Arabidopsis thaliana: one gene and its partners. The protein of the gene in region 2 interacts with the protein of the main gene of each other region in a pairwise test. Each region holds a gene or a part of one and is shown on either strand. Other genes may lie near its edges.

Region 1 (6,800 bases), on a different chromosome or scaffold from region 2:
TGGAAAATACTTAGGAATAATATTATGAAAGGATCCTTTTAAGATGGAATAAGATGATTTTATGTACATATATACTACTAATAAATTATGAAATAAATGTAGGATTCATTCTTTTTCTACTTCTTTTTGCATATCCGCTTGAATCTATATAAATCTGTATAAGTTGGAATGTTTTGACTGTATATTGTGTCACATTACATTATACATTACAGTTCCACGTGGTATTTTTTATGATTTATTAAATTTGTATGTGTTAAATAAATTTATACTTCATTCATATAGATAAGAAATGTATACTTTACAGTTTACATGTGTATTTGTTATTAAAAAAAGATAATATAAAAGAATAAGATATGGGAATGTTTACCCTAAAATCATATATAAGAGATTCAATTATCTTTTTATCTCATTTAATTTTGAGTCAGGAAAAAATATATATACAGAGAAGAAACAAAATTATTAAAAATGTAAAATTTATTGGTTAACATTTTGTCTTTACAAAAAACATAGATATGTTAATATAACGAATATAGTAAATGATAGAATAAAGATATTTAGTATGGTTAAGTAAGAAAATTAACATTTTCAATAATTTCGTCTCTTCTTTGCATAGGATTTGTTTGCCAACTCAAAGTATATTAGATAAAAAGATAAGATTGAAAACTAAAGTTGATAAGATATTATATTGTTTCACAAAAATTAGACATTGGATAGATGTTTAAGATTAAATAATCTTGTTAGAAATAAAACTGAAGTCTATGATGTTGCATGTAAGAGCTAATACAGTAAAATAAAATTATAAATTAATAACATGGGGAATAAAATATTTTATTGATTTATATAAGTGTTAATTTTTAGATGTAGTAAAAATATTGAAAATGACTTTTTCACAAAAATTAAAACAAATTCAAAGAAAAACAAATAACATTTTTATCCAATTACGTTATATATTATATTCGTCCAACTTTGAACCGGAAAAGTTTATTAATTTACAATGATTATTAAATTGACAAGTATTAATATATAGATGTTTCACTCTAATAGGTTAAATGGACAACTATATGCGAAAATATTAGGGCGATATTACAATAATCACAATGTAAAGATAGACAAGCACAATGTAAAGCTGATCACGTACAGTTTTGTTTCTTCCTCTTCAATGTTAATCTCTCCATTCAGTTAGAGTTAATTTCTAGTCTGATACATAACAAAACTACAAAGTTTCTCGAGTTTTTTTGTTATTTGATAACTCTCTACACGATCTAATTTCAATATTACATGTCGGAAAACTTCCGGAAAGTACCACACAAATGTTTGTAAGATTGAGTAAAATTGAGTAAAGAGAGCTTTAATCTCCCATATTTGCAAGTCGATATAAATTTGGTATCACGGCGTGTAAGAGATCTTGACATGCTAACCTTACGCAGATGTGCATTGTTGCAGTGCCATATTGTCATTATTGGTAATATATATGCCTAAGTAAAGTTCATATTGATAAAAATTTTATTCAAACACTATTGCATCTGCTTGTCAATCGCATAATAACATTATTAATTGAAAATGTAGTTTTCACTATTATACAATATCCGTTCTTATTTCGTTTAAACCGGCCGAGCCCATAGTATTGCAAACTATCACACCATATGGGCTTTAACTTTACGTTGGTAAAACGTAAAAAGAAAATAGCGATCAAGTCTCAAGAAGGGTACTTTTAGAATTAATAGCAACTTTAAGGCGTAAATAGAAGTAATACAAATAGTTGGGGTTATTATGTAAATATGAAGAAGATTAAGATCCAGAAGATGGAAATGAAAAACACGGCACGCATTTCAAAGCCCAAAACGGGCGGGGGCAAACGTCACGCCTAATCTTATCTTCTTCTATCACACTCTCAGCTTATCTATGACTATGACTCTCATCATCAATTATTTCACACTATTAACAATCACCAAACCAGTGTGAACATTTTAATTCATAATTAGAGTAAGGTCATTAGGCTAAAAACTGTTTGATTTGGATTTTACAACTATAGGATAAGAACTTGTATCGCTGTCACAGATGATATTTTTTGGTCGTTTAAGCAAAGAAATATTACGAAAAAGAGATATTTTTTATTCTTACTTATTTTGGGATTATCATTTACCCGGAACGGGCAAAGCGGTGAGTCATCTTACCTTATAAATGATCACAAACCCGAGGACTGTGAGTTTTCGTGTAGAACAAATCCTTCTCTGAGAAAAAACAACAGATCCGAATTTTATCTTTAATCAGCCGGAAAAAATGGAGAAAGCGATCGAGAGACAACGCGTTCTTCTTGAGCATCTCCGACCTTCTTCTTCTTCTTCGCACAATTACGAGGCTTCTCTATCTGTAAGCATTCTATCACCACACACTCTCTCTCTCTCGATCTATCGCGATCTTTTGGTTGTCTTCTCTTGTGTTTGCAGTCTGGGGATTATGGATCGTTGTTGATCTGGATTCATTATATGGAATTTTCGATTTTGATTTTGATGCTGAATTATAATTTGATTCGAGGCGTGCCTGTGAGCTGAAAATTTTAAGTTTCAGCTCGATTGAGATCAAATTCAAGACTTGGATTTTGTTTTTGTATTTCGTTCACTGGATTGAGATAGATATCTTTTTTTTTTTTGTTGTTGTTTGATTTTTGTTCGATTGGGTTGAATTATCCGTGCTCTGCATGTACTGATGATTTCTTAAAAGTCAAAGCTTGATTTCAATTACTACGTGTGATCTCTTTAACGTGTTCTTTCCAAATTCCCAGGCTTCTGCTTGCTTGGCTGGGGACAGTGCTGCATATCAGAGGACCTCTCTCTATGGAGATGATGTTGTCATTGTCGCGTAAGTCCCATCTCTTATGCTTTTACTCTTTTGGTATTTGGTTTTTCAGCAACGTATGAAGATTTCTCGTCTCTTTCTGATAGACTTACACTTATTGATCCATTGCAGGGCACATAGGACTCCACTATGCAAGTCCAAACGTGGCAATTTCAAGGATACATATCCCGATGATTTGCTCGCACCTGTTTTGAGGGTCTGTCGCTATCTTTTCTATTCTGTTGTTGGTTTTTATTTCCTTTCTACGTCTATTTATAGATAGTTCTTCCTTGACATAGGCATTGATAGAGAAGACGAATCTAAACCCAAGTGAAGTAGGTGACATTGTTGTGGGTACTGTTTTGGCACCTGGATCTCAGAGAGCCAGTGAATGCAGGATGGCTGCGTTCTATGCTGGTTTCCCTGGTATGTTTCTTCTATGTACAGTACAATACAATGGTGAAAAGTCTTTGTTTTTATTTCCTGTATGCTCATCCTGTTATGTTCATTTGCAGAAACCGTGGCTGTCAGAACTGTGAATAGACAGTGCTCATCTGGGCTTCAGGCTGTTGCTGATGTAGCCGCTGCCATTAAAGCGGGATTTTATGACATTGGTTAGTGAATAACCGTCTTTAACTACGCCACATTTTTTCATAGAGAACCGAGCTGACGATATGATGGATGCAGGTATCGGGGCTGGTTTGGAGTCCATGACTACCAATCCAATGGCATGGGAAGGGTCAGTCAACCCAGCGGTACTGATTCTCTCTTATCTGGAGTCTTACTTGGCTCTGTTATTTTAATACGTACTATAATACGGACTATGTTATTTCAGGTGAAGAAGTTTGCACAAGCGCAGAATTGTCTTCTTCCTATGGGTGTTACGTCAGAAAATGTAGCACAACGCTTTGGTGTCTCAAGGCAGGAGCAAGATCAAGCTGCTGTAAGGGAACTGAACTTTTTCAGTATGGTTGTATTTTAAATAACCTATAACTTTGATCGCTATGCTAAGCTATGGAGTCATATTGCTAGGTTGACTCGCACAGAAAGGCAGCTGCTGCTACTGCTGCTGGTAAATTCAAGGATGAGATCATTCCTGTTAAGACCAAGGTATTTTTCAGATCCTTCATACAATAACTGTAACATTTAAGACTTCTCTTGGTGGATTAGTTACTGAACTTCATTCATGTTCTAGTATTAGTCAATAACGTGTGTTTTAAATTTCAGCTTGTTGACCCGAAGACTGGTGATGAGAAACCCATTACAGTTTCTGTTGATGATGGTATCCGACCAACCACAACTCTTGCTTCTCTTGGGAAGCTGAAGCCAGTGTTTAAGAAGGATGGCACCACTACTGCTGGTACTTTTCCCGAATCAATTGTTTCATTATGGAAACCACAGTTCTTATTATCACAATTTTAAATCCATTGCTTCATTTGTTCTGTCGCAAACAGGAAATTCCAGCCAAGTAAGTGATGGTGCAGGAGCGGTTCTCCTAATGAAGAGAAGTGTTGCAATGCAAAAAGGACTTCCCGTTCTTGGTGTATTCAGGTGGGTAATAATTACTTACAAAGCTACGACTGTGGAAGTCTGAAAACCGAAAAAACTGCAGAGGCTTGTGATTTCCATTTACACAGATATGCTAGTATACGTGGAAAATACATTGTTCTTTCTGTATTTGGCTTTTTCTAAGTAGCACACTATTGGACATATTGCAGGACATTTGCTGCAGTTGGTGTTGACCCTGCAATCATGGGTATCGGTCCAGCAGTTGCCATTCCTGCTGCAGTTAAGGCGGCTGGTTTAGAACTTGATGACATCGACTTGTTTGAGATCAATGAGGTATATAGCAAACAATTTCATGATCTTCTTATCACATATCTCTTCCCGCACATTCTGATGATGACCATCTGTTTGAATCCTTGTGTGTTCAGGCATTTGCATCTCAGTTTGTTTATTGCCGTAACAAATTGGGACTTGACCCAGAGAAAATCAATGTCAACGGAGGTGCAATGGCCATAGGCCATCCTTTGGGCGCTACAGGTATATCTGTTAAGAACAGGACTAAAACTGTTAAGCTTGTTCCAATTTACCAAACCATAGAGACTTGAATTAATGAGAATCTCTCAACTCTCAACCAAACCTTAAGAAATCCACAGCCGAGATATATCTTTATAAACTCTGTCCTCACTAATGGTTCTTTAACCAACTTACAAGAGCTCTATCTTGCCGCAGTCCGTCCTTTTCAAAGCATATCAATGTCTACATTGTGTCTATATAATTATAAAACGCTCATGAACAGTTGCTAATACTTGTTAAAACTCTCACAGGAGCGCGTTGTGTTGCTACATTGTTGCACGAGATGAAACGCCGTGGTAAAGACTGCCGTTTTGGAGTAGTGTCAATGTGCATTGGTATGCTTCTCACTCGAATAATTCATTGTGAATTTGGTGTCTGAAATATGTGTCTGAGGGATGGTTTTACTGATTTGGTAAACTCTGGCAGGGACGGGGATGGGTGCAGCAGCTGTGTTTGAGAGAGGAGATGGAGTTGATGAGCTTCGCAACGCAAGGAAAGTTGAAGCGCAAGGTCTTTTGTCCAAGGACGCTCGCTAGAGAGGACCATGCACCAAAACCGTTTTTCACCTCACCTCTCTCTTTTCTGGTCTTCTTGTCACTTTCTTCAGATATTATTATAGTTTCGAATAAAGCACACAACCAATGTTTGCCTGAGTCTTGTGTTGTTCTTGACCAGGTCATGTGTTTAGTATTTTTTTTAAGTGAAGGGGGATAATCTTTAAATCTTTTATATGTAAGAATATTGTTCTTCTCGAATTTCATCAGTTGTTGCTTCTAGAAATTTTAGATTTTTTGGGTGGCAGCCATTTCTATATTTCGATGGATAAGTCAAACGTTCATAAAGTCAAGGGTTCTGCCTTTTGTTTGTGTTTCATGATTTTACCTTGAATTTCATTAACTAAAACAGTGTTAATAGTAACAGTTGGGGTGGTGGCGCAGTTGGCTAGCGCGTAGGTCTCATAGCTACTGAGTGATCCTGAGGTCGAGAGTTCGAGCCTCTCTCACCCCATAATTTTATTTTCTCATAGCTATTTATATAACGTTCCTTCTAGTATTTTTTTTTCTTTTCGTTATAGTATCTTGTCTTTGATACCGGAGACGTTATAACGGCAGTATAAGACGTTATAATCATGTTCCAATGCATCCCCTCAGTTTTGTGTTAAAAACGAGCCATCAATGTTATCATATATGGAAATCATTATTGAGGCTTTGACCAATTAATTATGCGAATTGACCGACTTTGATCACTATACAGAGCAAAACAAATCCACTGAATCATTTATTTGTGTAGGTTCATCTTTTTTGGGCACCGTATTCATTTCTTATTCCATGAATTTGACGGAGTAATTTTGATTTTCTTTTTCGAGTAAGAATCTGGTCAAATATTCGATGAACCTCTACAAAAAAAATTAACCTCTATAAAAGTGTAGATTAACCAAGTGTTTCATCACAAACCATTTCAACGTAAACGAAACAACAACTACTACTCTCAACTTTACACTCTCTTGATAAGTCTCGATGATGAATAACATGAAGCTCTTGATCATCGCTGTGATGATCATCTCGGCAGCTTTGCTTCCAGCGCTTGTGGTCGGATCTCGTCCGGTAAAATGTGACAATTGCATGGACGGTGGAGAAAAAGAAGAGATCATGAAGATGAGTTCAGGTGTAGATGTGAGCCATAGGATACTTCAAGCTAAGAGATTTATAGATTACGAAGCATTGAAGAAAAACTTACCAGCCAAACCAGATGGTAAACCGGATAAACCGGATAACAAATACCGACGTGGTTGCAGTGCCGCTACAGGATGTTACCGCTTTACAAATTAAACATAAACCACCTCTCTCTTCTTCTTCTTCTTCCTTTCGTTGGTGTGTTTTATTTTA
Region 2 (4,482 bases):
CAATGCATAAAGAGATGCAAAGATCTAAGTAATGGTTTCCTGCCAATAGAGATCTTACCCTGTAATGCATTTCCACCTTTGATCCATCTCACATGTTCACAATTGTAACTTGCAAATTTGATGTTATATAAACTTGGAAAGAAGCATATTCCACGGTACAATGCTACTGCATTGTAAATAAGACCGATGTTTTATTCCGACAATGATCTCTTCTTCGTATAATTTCTTAGGAATAATCTTCCATGCCACAAGTTTTATGGTCAGAAATATTCCTAAATGAAGAGCAGTCTACCACCTTCTTCTCTTTTAACAATTTCTAATCCTTCGCAACATCTTCCGCGTGCATCACAACAAAAGTAAAAGATCGTACATGTGTCATTTAAATTCACAAAATTTAATCTCTAGTTTTAACATAAAAAGTCAATACTAATGTGTGTCTATTACATATAGTATGTTCTTGACCTCGTGGATAAAGCAATATTATAGTTCACTTTAATACTATATGATATAATGTCAAGCCCTTTCATATGTTTAACCCAATTATTTGTCTGATTTGAATTTAGTCCAAAAGTTGAGACGGTTGTGAGTCTTGTGACTTGACAAAATGTGTTTTGAGATCTTTTGTTTGGGATCGGAGTACTATATTAAAAAAAAAATCATAAGAAAATAAAAGAATCTTTAATACTATGGAATAAGATAAAAAAGAGAGTGGTATAATAGTAAAGTAATAAGTAGAAAGTGATTCTTGAAATGGAAGATCCGTAAGAATGTTCTTGTGATTTTAATAAGCTTCTACCTGAAGACGCATAAAATGCAAAAGCTCGAAACTGCAATATGCTCTAGAAAGTTATAAATATGTACATTTATGCCACTCAATAAAGTCAATCAACTATGAAAAAGAACAAAATTCGAATTCTACAGTATACTATAAAAGGTACATTACCCTAAAGTAATTGACTTTATATATATTATGTCATTACTTTGGACATTATAGAAGATTAACATATATCTTAGTCCTAATATATATGTTAATCAGGTCTCATTGTAACAGGTTAACATATACACTAGAACATAAGCAATCTATCTACTATTACCATCAATCACAATTCGAAAGATAACCTTGTTCATATGTGAAACTCTCAGTAACTTACATTTCTTCTTAAGCAAGATCCCAACTTTATTCCAACTACATTCCTTTAACAAAAACCAAACCAATTCCACAACAAATAAAGATGAAACTGTTTTGCAATCACAAACTTACTTATGAATCAACTGGCTCTAGGATCCATCCCTTGCTGCCAAACATAAACAAGCTCATCCCAACCAGTACTCGCCATTAAACCTTCAACAAGAACACTCATATCGATCCCAACAGCAAACTCTGTATGATGATCATACCTACCAACCAAAGCATCTTCCACCATATAGTCCCAAAGACAAACACTCATATCATAAGAGCAAGAAGCTATCAAACTCCTCCTATGCGGCGAGAATTTCACCTTCCTCACCGCATATCCATGACCATTAAGCACAGCCAAAGGAACTCTATAACTCCTAACATCCCAAACCTTAACTGTCTTATCCACTGAAGAAGTAGCTAAAATACAATCATCATACTTATTCCAATCACAAGACAAAATCTCAAAATCATGAGCAGGGATGATCATAGTTGATCCAGGTTCTCTAACATCCCAAATCCTTAAAGTACAATCTCCAGAAGCAGAAGCAAACACATCACCATGTTTAGGATTCCAAACTGCTTGATAAACGCAATAAGCATGTTCCTTAAAAGTCCTTACACTCGCCGGACGATCCATAGCCCAAAGCTTAACCGTATCATCCCACGAAGAAGTGAGAAACGAATCGCGCCGCGTGGGATTGTAATCCACAGATTGAACCTCACGCGCGTGCTCTTGGAATGATCTAATCGGATTAGAAGGAGGAGGAAGAGCTGTGTCGTAAATCTTCACTGAGCCGTCACCAATTGCGGCGATGAGCACAGAGTCATGAGATTCTGACCAACATACGTCGTATACAGCGTCGGCTGTATCGTACGAGACGGATTCAGTTACGCCTGGAGCTCCAGGAGCGAGCTCGAGGACATGGATTCGGCCGTTTCCGAGAATTCCGAAGTTCTGAGCTGTAGCGACGGCGAGGCGTGACTCGTAGAATGGACTGAATTTCACAGAGTAGCCATTGAACGGAGCTTTGAACACCGGCATAGCTTCTTCTTCTTCTCCGGTGAGTGATTGAATCAAAAGAAGAGTCTTCTCGAAGATTCAATTCAACGATCTGATCGGATAACGCCGATTTTGCTCATCGCAGAATTAATTTTCCCCCCAATTGGGCCTATTGGGCTGGAGCCTAGCCCATTTGTGTAGGTTGTGTTAAAACGATGTCGTTTGGCATTTCAAGTTAGGGTTTTTTGGGGGTTTGGTTCAAGCTTCATCGTCGTCTCTCTGTCTCTTCAATTTCATTCGTTTTCTGAGATAAAAGTGAGAGAGAAATCTAAATTCGAGAGGAGAAGTTTTAATTTTTCTGAGTTAGATTCAATGGAAGAGATCACGGAAGGAGTTAACAACATGAACTTGGCTGTTGATACCCAGAAGAAGAATCGGATTCAAGTTTCCAACACTAAGAAACCATTGTTCTTCTACGTCAATCTCGCCAAGGTAACGAAACCCTTTTAATCGAATCTTAATAAATTCGTATTTAGATTGAAATCTATGGATTCGAAGTGTTCTTATTTGAGTACCAAGTCTGGAAATGTCTGTGATTGTTCATGAGTGTTAATTTATCTGTTATTGACTTTGATGAGTTATTACTGGTGGTTCTGTGTTGTTTATGTGACTCTTTATCAATGTTTGTTCCTTAGATTTGTGAACTTTGTTTTGCTCTTTAGATTTGATTAAACCTGTTTATGTTATTGACCATGTTTGGTGTTTTGTTAACAGAGGTACATGCAGCAGTACACTGATGTCGAATTGTCTGCACTAGGAATGGGTAATGTTTATTCTTTATGATCTTGTTTATATATCAAATCTAATATGTATGGTTTTTAAACTATGTAACTGAGTTCATTAAATTCAAAGTTATTATCAGAAAAGCTGTTTCCTTTTATTGTTATGACATAGAATCTTTTATCTTCTGTGATTTTGTAATATCTTATCCGAGCTTTCTTTATTGGAAGAGTTTATTCTGGTTTCTCATAAAACATTGATTTGTGCGTTGTGCAGCTATTGCCACTGTTGTTACGGTCGCTGAGATATTGAAGAACAATGGCTTTGCTGTTGAAAAGAGTAAGATCTTCTTAATCTTGAATGAGTTAATGTTAGCACAAGAGATTTGAAAGATTCAGTGACTAAGTTTTGCTTATTTGGATATTGTTTTTTCCTGCAGAGATCATGACATCGACTGTGGATATCAAGGATGATTCAAGGGGTCGTCCTGTGCAGAAAGCTAAGGTATATATTTTCGAATCATTTGATAAATTGCTTATGCTGTGGAATTCTAGCTTCCGTCTAATGATTTTTGTTCTCTGGGAAATTGCTATGTTGGTTGCTAAATTGGTGACACTGTGACTTGTAGATTGAGATCACGCTTGCCAAGTCTGAGAAGTTTGATGAACTAATGGCTGCAGCTAATGAAGAGAAGGAGGCTGCAGAAGCCCAAGAGCAAAACTAGATTGTTTCAAGTTTTTTCTGTTCAACGATCTTATTTCTTCGTTCCCTATCTCTATCTGCTTAATTTTAAGACACTTCTATTTCGTTAATTTTTGGTTCACTTTTTTATTTCACCTTGGATTGTGTCCTCTGTACCTCTGAGCATTTTTATTTAAAGATCGTAGGAAGTATAAAAAAGATGGCTTCGTTGCATAAATCAGCTTCCAACCTTATTATGTAGAGTAATACATGTAGTTGAAATTTTATTTTGAAGACTTGGAATCTGTCCATAAAAAAGGTTAGTGATATGGCTTATGGATAACAAATCACTATCTCTGGGATAATTGAACAAATGTAAGCCACATGATACATATGTGACATCATGAGCTATAAGTTATAACTAATGGCTATATCTAATTTTTTTCTTTTTGTCAGTTCTTTTAGTTTAACACTAAAACGTAACCATACTAGAAGAAATATAAGAAAGTATTATAGTGTGCAATAAGGTTATTACTTGCTAACTAATCACTTTGGTTCACATTCTTAGCACCAATAAACTATAATAATAGTATATTATAGTTCAATAGGATTTGACCAAATAAAAAGTTGTCAATTAGAAAAACAAAAAGAAGTTGTCAAATTCTGTTAAACTCTCAATTGCCATTTGTTAATTGCAGTCTGGGATGGGATTCCATTGCTTGATGATAATAGCTTTTGACTTTTACTGATTTAATTATTATGTCTGTACAATTAGTCAAGGCTAATTGATTGATGAGTGATTGGATTGAATGATAATGGACAAAGTTGAAATTAAGAGAAT
Region 3 (5,292 bases), on a different chromosome or scaffold from region 2:
TATTCACATCCTAAACAACGATACGCGACCCTACTCATGTATCAATTAACCATTTGCTAAAACATTCAGAGACTGACGGAAATTGTAAAAAGAGACTATAACTCTATGAGTCAGGGGAAACCCCTCATTCTATCAACCAGTACGAGTGGAGCTCTCTCTCTATCCCGCGATTTATTCCTTTCTTCATTGATCCCGGATTAAAGAGACTCCTTGGTCAGAACCAACCATCTATCGCCTCGATCATGACTTCCTTTGATGGGATGGGCGAGGGAGGATCGAATTTGCCAGCTCCTCATTCAACTTCACCGGAAGAGGTGGCATCTGCTTCATAACTTCTGGCATGTCATTCAAGCTGCAATCCATTCAATCAGCAAAGCACGTTAAGATTTGAGTTGATACACTATAATAGCTCGAAAACTTTGTTGGAAAAGAATGGCATTTCCCAAAGTGAGTCAATGACATCGAAATGATCTATAGATATATGGGAAAATGTATTACTCGTTCAAGATTGCAAGGATATTGTCTCGAGCTTTGCACAAGATATTGACATTCTCATGTAGCTGCAATGGGAAAGAATCTTTCATAAGTACACAATTGGATAGAACTAACGTAAACTTAAGCTGATATAGTACAAAATCAATCATAAAACCACTGGATTGCTCAAAAGCCAACAGCACAAGGCAGAGAATCAAATCAAGTCCAAAAAACTCAGCGAATTATACAAAACTTACAAGATGAAAAGTGGAAGTTGAATTCACCTGGAAAGCTGAGAAATTTGTTGAAAGTTGATTGAACATTTGAGCATTTTGCTCGAGAAGATCTCCACTCACACCACCAATAGCTGCAATAAAGCCGAAACACTTATGCTCCTTCTAATCCAATCTAGAAGATTTAGCCTTTAAATGGAAAAAGCCTAGAATCTTAGACAAACCTTTATATGAAATACCATCATCAGTATCGATAGGCATCATAGGCGGAGCATAAGAAGGACCATTAGGATGAACATTCAAATGAGATGAGGACTTGGCTGAAGAATCTGTAGCTTTTTCCTGCTAAACAGATATGTGAAAGACAATCAATCAGTTTTTGTAGACTTATAAATGGATCCACAAGACAACACAAGAACTTTCATCCGTCCAAACTCACAAGTAAATGACTAAAGGTTCAAGCTAGTTACACATTAGAATTCAATCAAGCTGATTTATGGTTTGTACTTCAAATATCTTTCTTAGCCTTGCTAGTATCGAAATTGCTAAGTAGCAGCAAATAGGATTGAAATCCACATACTTTCTTATCTTTGCTTTTCCTCGAGGAATGATCTTCTTTCCTACGCTTTCCGTTTTCCTTTTTCTGCAATCCATCAGCAACCACATGGAGGTGAAAAACCGTCAGTTGATTCTTACTAATCAATAAAGCCAATACACGAAGAAGGTTAATCAAGAACAACGAAAAAGTCGCCGGATTAAGCAAAATCAAGAAACTTACAGTCATCCATCTACAGCGCAGGGCAACATCTCGAACAGTCTTATCTTTCATTTTCATAGCAATCTTCGCATATCGAAAAACCGACGGTTCTGTCGCGTACCTATATAAAGATTAATTACTAAAAGAGTGATAGGATTTAACAAGGCTCCTACAAAAATTTACAACCAGTCATTACAGATAAGTAGACAACTCATCCTCTAATTAAATCCTAAAATTTTCACATTGCTCTAACACTAATGAGCCTATCATAAATATGATACCACACTAGCTAGCTAGTCATTTTTCTAGTATTTTATTTATTACCATACTTGAAACCACATCCAAAACTCACAATCAGCTAATCAAATACCACTGTTTCTCTTCTCAGATATAATTCAAAAAACCCGACCAAAGCTAACAATTCTCAACACATATTCCGATTCAAGCTACATGATGCTTGAAAGGCCATGGAAAATAACATATCGCAGAATTCACTACATCTAGTCACATCTAGTCAGATAGAAAGAACATTGGATAAAACAGCAAATCCAAATCTTAAACATACAGAGAGAGAGCGAGAAGATTACTTGACAAGCAAATCTTCCAATAGAGATTGTTCCTCAAGAGTCCAATCGGTAGAGATCCCTGGATTATGCCTCAACGCGCCAATCGTCTGTGAATTATCCGCCGCCGCGCCTGTATTTCCACCATTATCGACGGAATTCACAGCAGCGCCATTCGCCGCCGCCGCTGAAGAAGACGATACCTTCTGCGTCGCCGACGAACCTTCCTGATTGTTCCCCGACGGGTTCGCGCTCGCCGCCATTAAATACCCAATTTTTGGAGCTTAAGAAGTCACTTGGTTTCCTAAAATAATTCCACCGGAAAAGTTTGAATTTTGGGAAATTCAGATATGAATTCGCCGGGATAGGAACAGAGAGAGGGAGAGAGAGAGATGATGGGGAGATTAATCCGGCCGCCGACTGAGCTTCTTCTTCTGCTTCCCTCGAAATATGGAATCTTTGCTTATAATAATATAAACATATAATTTCATCTCTATCCTTTTTCGGATTTTGGTTTTCTATTTTTGAGAGTCAAATACGTCAATTTTAGTAATTAAGAGGCTTTTTGGGTAAGGATTATAACTATAGGGGCTGATACATAATAACCTAAAAGAAGAAAGTAATCTGTTTTGTTTTTTCCTCTCTTTTCGAGGTCCCTTCTCCTCTGTCTTCTTCATCCCACCTCTCTTGTCTCTCTATCTCTCTCTCTCCGCGCTTGAGGTTGGCGTCGGAGATTACCAACAAGAGCTCTCTCCAATCGTCGTCTCTTTGATATATGGCGTCTCAGCCTGCAGGTTAGCTCAATTGAAATTCTTTTTTTTTTTTTTTTTTTGAGGATTCAGATTTTAGGGTCTCGATTTATTGAATTCTCCTTCTACAATTTTGGTACGTTCGATGAGACCCGTCGAGTTGTTTGATTTGAAAGTTGTGAAATTGATTAACTTTCGACCTACAATTGGATTTTAATTTAGGGTTGTAATCAATTGATGAGATCAGCTTTTGGATTGCGCTTAGCTTTGATTGGCCTTAGATTTTCTTGATTCAATTAGATGCTTTCGTTTTGGATTGCAATTTGATGCCTTTTCTTATTCTACATCATAGTTCTACTTTGATGTTTTCACATAACCTCACTTGTGTTACCGATACTGTTCCTAATCATCTTTACAATTGCTTTCATCAAGTCTCTTTAGTGTGTGTGTTTGCCTGTGCTGATTAAAGTTTAGTCTTATTTTCAGAATACTATCTGTCATGTCACTAAACGTATAATTAATTCAATTTACTGCTGCTGTAGGTGGCAGTCCTCCTAAACCTTGGGAAAAAGAAGGAAATACATCTGGTCCTAATCCTTTCAGGCCTCCTTCTAATACTAGCACGGCTGGTTCAGTTGAGGCTTCTGGCACAGCTAATCCTGGTGAAGTAGTTCCTCCGCCCGTGAACAGGCCTAATACAGCTGCTAATATGAATTCACTCAGTAGGCCTGTACCGGCTAGACCTTGGGAACAGCAGAATTATGGGAGCACTATGGGGGGAGGTATATTTTTTCAAGTTATCTTAGATTTTTTGGTTGCTGAGATTGCATAAAGCTTAGTTCTTTTATTGTATGAATGGCAGGTTATGGTTCAAATCTAGGTATGACCTCTGGGTATGGGTCAGGTACATATGGTTCAGCATTAGGTGGGTATGGTTCATCATATGGTGGTGGGATGTATGGAGGTAGTAGCATGTATAGAGGAGGTTATGGTGGTGGTGGGCTCTATGGAAGTTCAGGCATGTATGGTGGTGGTGCGATGGGTGGTTATGGTGGCACGATGGGTGGTTATGGTATGGGTATGGGAACGGGAATGGGAATGGGGATGGGAATGGGAATGGGTGGTCCTTATGGTAGTCAAGATCCAAATGACCCTTTTAATCAACCTCCATCTCCACCAGGCTTCTGGATATCATTTCTCCGTGTGGTATTGTTCATTATTCATACTTTATTTTGTATAAGAAATAAAAGAAGTTGATAATGATAAGGTAGTACTGTATAACATAAAGTGTTCATGTTTTGATTGATGACAGATGCAAGGTGCTGTGAATTTCTTTGGCCGTGTAGCGATGCTTATAGATCAAAACACACAGGCCTTTCACATGTTCATGTCTGCCCTTCTTCAGGTTCCTTCCTGTTTTTTTCTTCTACCAACTCGTATTTTACTGGTTCCTTGATCCATTTCATTGTTCTCATGTTAACCAATCATTTATTTGTCCTCAGCTATTTGATCGTGGTGGTATGTTATATGGAGAATTAGCAAGATTTGTACTGCGTATGCTTGGGGTGAGAACAAGGCCTAGAAAGATGCAGCAGCCACCACAAGGGCCTAATGGGCTACCTTTACCACACCAGCCACATGGAAACCAGAACTACCTCGAGGGGCCTAAAACTGCTGCACCAGGTGGTGGCGGTGGTTGGGACAATGTATGGGGCAACTAAGTTACTTCTTTCATTACCCAAATCCTTCAACATTGCTTTAAAACACCATGACAACCAGTTGGTTACCGATAGAAGATAAACCGTGTAGCAGCCTGCAACACAGATTGGGATGTACGAAAACCAGATGTTTGTTTGCAAATTGAGTCTCTTCTTCTCTTCTCTCTATCTCTCAGTATTCTCTGATTGTGTGGTAAAGGATAGATGTCGTACTCTACAAAATGGAAAGTGAAGTTTTAAGTGTTTGTTAAAGACCTTTCTATTGATATATATTTATAATATCCGATTCTCTTCCTCTTTTACTGGATTTGAAACAACACTGTTGACCAGTAAACGATTTTGATACTTTATTAACAACTTGAAGCCTATTCTTGAATACATCTTTTCTTGCAGTTTGCCTCTAGACAAGACCAACACATTGGTCCCAAAAATGTCGTATGAACGAACTTAAAAGAATCATGTACTGTTGATAGAAATTGATGCTTTTATTCTTGTGCATATAGTCTCCAGTCTGGTCCTATGACCATCATTTCTTCTGTTCTTAGTGTTATATCGGCTCTATGTAATCTGAACATCTCAATTGCTGTAGGGGTCAGCCTCGCGTTCCCGTTCATGTAGAGAATCTGGAGGTTCATGCAACCGCATCGTAGAGCAAGCAACCCTTGGTCACATAAGTTCCTACAACGGTTCACATGGAGTTTCTTCAAGTTACGGCACCACTTCCCTACGGCTTCCCATCCCGAAATCTTAACTTCATGACAAAGAGCCAAGTTCCACTCTTGGAGCAATGGACAACCT
Region 4 (5,816 bases), 8.9 Mb from region 2:
AGTTACATACTAAGCTTTAATCTGATTTATGACAATGTTTGCATATGCTAAGAAAAGCCAAGTAAGAGAGAAAATGAATTGTGTAAATACCCACTGTTTTTTTCGTTGGAAATCTTGTTTACTATATATTTTACACAATACAACATATATGTCATTGACAGTAAACCTAAACCCCATGCTTGATATATCTTCGAGGGATAAACTTTCTAATGACTAGTGTAGTTGCATTGCATTCTATCAGCAATATCTTTATCTTTCAATGCATTTGAATGTAGACTATGTAGTAGAAGAATTGGTCGAACTCCAAAATCAGTTTGAGAAATAAAAAGAATTTGGGGTGAGAGAGGCTCGAACTCTCGACCTCAGGATCACTCTGTAGCTATGAGACCTACGCGCTAGCCAACTGCGCCACCACCCCTTTTTGTGATATTGTCACAAGGGTTAATAATTGATTCTTCGTTTCGATAAAAGACACTTGTAATCTACATTTCCTTTTTGATTTAATCATTACTATGCAACGTGATTCAATAATATAGTTCTACAATTGTGTACATACATATGACAAACCAAATAGATTATGATATGTTCTCAAAGAGTATCTGTATATATTCCAACCATATAACAAAAGAGAGTTAAAAAATAACAAGAAGTTTTCCCTCATGTATTGTACTATCGTTATGATTTATTCATCTAGAACGCATTTATTTGTGATAATGTTTATTTGTAGTACTGTGTTCTAATTTGGTCCTTAGCTAGGGTCCTTGGTCAAAAGGCCTTATTGTCATTAGACTTTCCGGACATCACAGAGCTCATCCACACCGCCTCCTCTCTCAAACACAGCGGCTGCTCCCATTCCCGAACCTGTGCGGTTTCCCAGTCACAGTGAGAGTGTTAGTGTGTACGAGAGAGTGGGAGTCAAAAGGAGAGTGAGAGTGAACATATTACATACCTATACACATTGACACTACGCCAAAACGACAGTCTTTACCACGTCGTTTCATCTCATGCAGCAGCGTCGCAACGCATCTGGCTCCTGAGAATGTGTAGTTGTTAGATGAGGAAGGAAATTAATGATATGTGAACAAAGAGGAAGCATACCTGTAGCGCCCAAGGGATGTCCAATGGCTATGGCTCCTCCATTGACATTGATCTTTTCCGCGTCTAGCCCGAGCTTGTTCCGACAATAAACAAACTGAGATGCAAATGCCTGAACACACAGTAGGATTTTAGACAAAGAATATAAGGCCTATAAGTAATAGACTATGAGCTGGAGTAAATGTAAAGGAAGAAGAGTTGTTCTATTATCTTAAACCTCGTTAATCTCAAACAAGTCGACGTCATTGAGTTCTAAACCAGCTGCCTTGACTGCAGCAGGAATGGCAACGGCTGGCCCAACCCCCATGATGGCTGGGTCCACACCAACTGCAGAAAATGTCCTGTAATGTGTCCAAGAGTGCTGTTACTAAATGAAGCAAAGAAAGGTCAATATAGAGTATCAACTATCAAGCCCACCTGAATACACCAAGAATGGGAAGGCCTTTCTGCATTGCGACATTTCTCCTCATAAGGAGAACAGCTCCAGCACCGTCACTTAATTGGCTAGAATTCCCTGTTTGACACAAAGGAAACAAGGGATTTGGGAAAAAGATGGATCAAACAAACATTTTTCTCTGAAAATGACCAATTAATCTGGGGAAAGTACCAGCAGTTGTGGTTCCGTCTTCCTTAAACACTGGCTTCAGCTTTGCAAGTCCGGAAAGGGTTGTGTTAGGTCGAATCCCATCATCCACAGAAACTGTTATGGGTTTCTCATCACCTGTCTTTGGGTCAACAATCTGAAATGTAAAAACAAAATTCATTAAATTGGGTAAAGAGCACTTGATGCATCCTGAAGAATCTAACATGTTCACAGTTGTTGCAAGGTGGAAAACAGCATGTACCTTGGTTTTTACAGGGGTTATCTCATCCTTAAACTTTCCGGAAGCAGTAGCAGAAGCAGCCTTTCTGTGAGAATCAACCTACACATTTGACTCGATAAACTAAGGGATGGAGGGCAATATCGAATACATGCATTAGAACTAAGAATGCTTATTTGACTTACAGCAGCTTGATCCTGCTCCTCCCTTGAAACATTAAACCGGTGTGCTACATTTTCTGAAGTAATACCCATTGGAAGAAGGCAATTGTGAGCTTGTTCAAACTTCTTCACCTAAAACAACAGAATACGTTCTATGAGAGCTAATCATTCAACAGAGCCAATCAATACACTCCGGGAAGGAAGGAGAGAGACAATAAGAGCATGGTACATTTGGGTTGACTGATCCTTTCCATCCCCTTGGATTAGTTGTCATGGACTCCAGCCCAGCTCCAATACCTGTATTCAACGTAATTTCAGCTCAATTCTTCATGCCAAGATAAGACAATTTATGTAACCAAAGATAGTTACTATCTTACCAATGTCATAAAAACCAGCTTTTATGGCAGCGGCAACATCAGCAACAGCCTGAAGCCCAGATGAACACTGTCTGTTCACGGTTCTGATGGGAACAGTTTCTTCCAACAGACAAAAAGAGCATAAGCATACAACAAACGAAAAAGAAGAAAAGATTCAGGATTACCATAATACAGAAGAAAATATTACCGGGGAAACCAGCATAGAACGCAGCCATCCTGCATTCACTGGCTCTCTGAGATCCTGGTCCCAAAACAGTACCCACTACAATGTCACCAACTTCACTTGGGTTTACATTAGTTTTCTCTATCAATGCCTAGCAAGAAGAAGCACACATAAGTGCAAATTGGAAAAAGGGGAAGCCAAAAAACAGGAAACAGAACTGAACAAGACATACTCTCAATACAGAGGCAAGCAACTCGTCTGGAAATGTATCCTTGAAGCTGCCACGTTTTGCCTTGCAAAGTGCAGTCCTTTGTGCCCTGTGAATCACAAGAAGCATAGAAAAAGGTTCAACAAGTTTCCATAAAGTCTTGCACAATATCAAAAGAAGAAGAGAAACTTAACGCGACAATGACAACATCATCTCCATATTGATATGCAGCACTGTCTTTGGACAAGCAAGCTGAGGCCTTGTGAGGTAGCAACACAAACAGTAAGAGATACATTGTAATTCAAAAACAATTCCTATACCAAGATATTACTAATAATTCAAAAAAAAAAAAAACATCGAACAAGAGCCAACCGAAATCAGCCTTGAGAGTTATGGTTTCAGTAATAAATTCGTAATCACATGCAAACAATTGAGAGCAATTAGCGAGGGGAAATTGGAAACAGAAGATTCGAAATCAAAGCATCGGAAGAGCTTACAGAGAGAGAGGCGTCGGAAGATGACGAAGGTTGAAGATGACGAAGCAGTATCCTTTGTCTCTCCGTTGCTTTTTCCATTGTTTTCGTTTGATTATTTTGAAGCCCAAACTGGGCTAAACCGTTCGTTGTAAAGCAGATAAAAGACAAAGGAAAAAAAAAACTAAACCGCTTCATCCCGGTTTAGGATGGGTTACATACATATACGGTTTCAGGGTTTAGCGGAATCAATCATCTGGTTTTGATGCTAAACGACGTCGTATAGAGTAAGATGTCTTTCTTTCTCTCTCAGAAAAACTCGACAGTCATTTCTTCGACGGCACGTTTCTCTTATGAATTAACCCTAAAAACGCCGTCTTAGTCTCTCTTCGAGCCTACTTTCAAATTCGAAACTTTCGTTCATCTGTTCTCTACGTAAGTCTTTGCTTTCTTCTTTTCCCTGCTGTTGTTGTTTCTTTTTGGTTTTTCTTCTCAATGTTTATGGAGAATTTTTCGTTTTTGATTTCCATGGATTATGAGTTGTTACTTATTAAGTTTGGTGCTTTGGTCTGTTTCTCATTGGCATAATCTGTGATTAGTATCTCATAATCAATTGTAGTAATCATTTAGTTACATATGCTTTATGATTAAGCTGTAACAGTTTTGTTGGAATTTCATATGTCCATGTTTTTCAATTCCAATAATTTAACATTGAAACAAACAAAGAGCAGCTCAAATGGTCAAACTAAATCGAGAATCCTGAGTTGGCGAATAGAATGGGAGCTGATGTCGTATCAAGTCCTAAAGAAGATTGAGATCCATCTGCTTAGCGATAAATAAGTAAACATGGGCCAAGTTAGTGAAACTTTCGATCTATAAAATTTGCTTTGGGCTTGTATATTTATGCTACCACGACATGAGGTGGTACTATATAGGTCAGGGCTGATTATTCTACAAGATAGATTACAATTTACTTAAACGGTCTCGTTAGCGCGTTTGAGAACAACATGATTAACGTTGAAGAGCGCGTTTCATAAATTGCTGGATTTGAAATAATTTGAGAAGATGAGTTAAGTGAGGCGCGTTTGAGAACAACAATGGAGAACGTTGCAATTTATGGGCTGAGTTTTAATGGGTTGGGCTTATTACTCCAACATATTGCTTTACATAAAAAAAAGTTGTGTTTTTTTACACAATTGACCCTCAACTTTCTTGGTATACAACTTTTACCTAAACCGGTAAATGCTTCTCAATACTAATTTACAGACTCCACACAATCTCATAAATCTATATTCTTCCCATCTTCTGCTTTCATTCAACCAATAAATTTAAAACCAACCCAAAAAAAGGCTCATGTATCTCACAACTTACGTTTATTTGAGAGGGCTTTTAGGTTCTTCGCTTGGGTTGCAAGGCAACAGTCATTGATCGAAGTCGTTCAACAATCTCCGTAAACGATGGCCGTACTCCTGGATCGAATGACCAGCATTGCTCCATCAACTTCCTCCACTCAGCTTCACACCGTTCAGGCACCGGAGGTCTTAACGTATTGTTCACAATTCCACCTTTTTATCAAAACCAAACAGATCAAAAATTAGATCATAAACCAAAGCTCAATCCAAGTTCATCTTGTTCAAAGACTGAAGAACTGCTCATGCTAGAAACTTACCAATGATGGCACCGCAATGCAGATTCGCATAGGGTTCTTCGCCTGTCAAGATCTCCCACATCACGATACCAAATGAGAAAACATCGACCTGCAAAAACATGTTAAGATTAAAACAAAGACTCTTAACATTTTCAATGTTTTGATTTTGGACTCAACAACATACTTTCTCTGAGACCCGATTGCTGCTTCCGTTTAGCAGCTCTGGTGCCATCCATGGAAGGGTTCCTCTTACTCCACCAGAGACAAGCGTGTTTCGTTTTATTCTCGACAATCCGAAATCTCCAACCTGCAAATTCAACAGTGAGACTAATAAATACAGCACTTTACTCATACAACTTGGCTTGAAATTACCTGATTTTGGGGAAAAGTGTTACCTTGCAAATGGGTCGTTGTGGATCCCTCAAGTTTACAAGCAAGTTATCGCATTTAAGATCAAAATGAACAATATTTTTCATATGTAGATACTCCATGCCAAATGCAGAATCAAGAGTTATCATCAGTTTTTTGCGCCTATCAAGTAATCTGTGCCCAAAGTTTTTCCATCAGTAAACTCAGAATGTCATATCACAAAAGGTCATACAAAGATTTGACAGATTATTGTGTACCTGTCTTTTCTCTGCAAGACATGCCTCAAAGATCCGTTCACCATATACTCAGTCACTGTTGCCATTGTTCCACCAGGTCCATCTGGTACAACTCCATAAAAGGCCACTACGTTAGGATGGTGAAGATTCGCCAATATCCGAGCTTCTCTCCAGAAATCTTTAGTCTGTTTCAGTAAGGCATCAGTGAAAACTGCGGTTCTGAAATTCCCTTCAAAAGTACAAAGACTCGAGAGAAGAGTTAAAC

The links.
Region 1: the proteins of PEX7 (region 2) and PKT3 interact in binary tests that used the Arabidopsis thaliana proteins (3 or more experiments, as listed by UniProt).
Region 3: the proteins of PEX7 (region 2) and PEX13 interact in a two-hybrid assay, tested with the Arabidopsis thaliana proteins (one study listed by BioGRID).
Region 4: the proteins of PEX7 (region 2) and PKT4 interact in binary tests that used the Arabidopsis thaliana proteins (3 or more experiments, as listed by UniProt).

What each region holds. Positions count from the first base shown.
Region 1 is NC_003071.7:14,046,464-14,053,263, reverse strand, and holds PKT3 (peroxisomal 3-ketoacyl-CoA thiolase 3), read left to right. Parts: upstream 1-1,863; 5' UTR 1,864-2,280; coding exon 2,281-2,370; intron 2,371-2,782; coding exon 2,783-2,859; intron 2,860-2,967; coding exon 2,968-3,052; intron 3,053-3,134; coding exon 3,135-3,261; intron 3,262-3,350; coding exon 3,351-3,449; intron 3,450-3,522; coding exon 3,523-3,590; intron 3,591-3,670; coding exon 3,671-3,778; intron 3,779-3,867; coding exon 3,868-3,945; intron 3,946-4,062; coding exon 4,063-4,195; intron 4,196-4,289; coding exon 4,290-4,386; intron 4,387-4,553; coding exon 4,554-4,677; intron 4,678-4,769; coding exon 4,770-4,878; intron 4,879-5,165; coding exon 5,166-5,249; intron 5,250-5,340; coding exon 5,341-5,450; 3' UTR 5,451-5,786; downstream 5,787-6,800. Other genes in the region: RALFL18 (ralf-like 18), read left to right, coding at 6,432-6,743. UniProt on the Arabidopsis thaliana protein: Involved in long chain fatty-acid beta-oxidation prior to gluconeogenesis during germination and subsequent seedling growth. Confers sensitivity to 2,4-dichlorophenoxybutiric acid (2,4-DB).
Region 2 is NC_003070.9:10,222,663-10,227,144, reverse strand, and holds PEX7 (peroxin 7), read right to left. Parts: upstream 2,331-4,482; 5' UTR 2,223-2,330; coding exon 1,269-2,222; 3' UTR 823-1,268; downstream 1-822. Other genes in the region: AT1G29250 (Alba DNA/RNA-binding protein), read left to right, coding at 2,553-2,672, 2,955-3,003, 3,237-3,299, 3,400-3,464, 3,589-3,684. UniProt on the Arabidopsis thaliana protein: Receptor required for the peroxisomal import of proteins containing a C-terminal PTS2-type peroxisomal targeting signal. Specifically binds to cargo proteins containing a PTS2 peroxisomal targeting signal in the cytosol.
Region 3 is NC_003074.8:2,410,821-2,416,112, reverse strand, and holds PEX13 (peroxin 13), read left to right. Parts: upstream 1-2,525; 5' UTR 2,526-2,802; coding exon 2,803-2,821; intron 2,822-3,318; coding exon 3,319-3,558; intron 3,559-3,638; coding exon 3,639-3,982; intron 3,983-4,088; coding exon 4,089-4,181; intron 4,182-4,278; coding exon 4,279-4,497; 3' UTR 4,498-4,792; downstream 4,793-5,292. Other genes in the region: AT3G07565 (histone H2A deubiquitinase (DUF3755)), read right to left, coding at 241-352, 499-560, 732-841, 932-1,052, 1,288-1,350, 1,486-1,585, 2,052-2,290; AT3G07550 (RNI-like superfamily protein), read right to left, coding at 4,980-5,292. UniProt on the Arabidopsis thaliana protein: Component of the PEX13-PEX14 docking complex, a translocon channel that specifically mediates the import of peroxisomal cargo proteins bound to PEX5 receptor.
Region 4 is NC_003070.9:1,319,525-1,325,340, reverse strand, and holds PKT4 (peroxisomal 3-ketoacyl-CoA thiolase 4), read right to left. Parts: upstream 3,457-5,816; 5' UTR 3,401-3,456; coding exon 3,323-3,400; intron 3,085-3,322; coding exon 3,020-3,084; intron 2,935-3,019; coding exon 2,850-2,934; intron 2,769-2,849; coding exon 2,642-2,768; intron 2,554-2,641; coding exon 2,455-2,553; intron 2,375-2,454; coding exon 2,307-2,374; intron 2,210-2,306; coding exon 2,102-2,209; intron 2,019-2,101; coding exon 1,941-2,018; intron 1,836-1,940; coding exon 1,703-1,835; intron 1,610-1,702; coding exon 1,513-1,609; intron 1,437-1,512; coding exon 1,313-1,436; intron 1,208-1,312; coding exon 1,099-1,207; intron 1,034-1,098; coding exon 950-1,033; intron 862-949; coding exon 785-861; 3' UTR 501-784; downstream 1-500. Other genes in the region: AT1G04700 (PB1 domain-containing protein tyrosine kinase), read right to left, coding at 4,688-4,863, 4,968-5,055, 5,131-5,253, 5,342-5,489, 5,573-5,736. UniProt on the Arabidopsis thaliana protein: Involved in fatty-acid beta-oxidation prior to gluconeogenesis during germination and subsequent seedling growth. Implicated in jasmonic acid (JA) biosynthesis.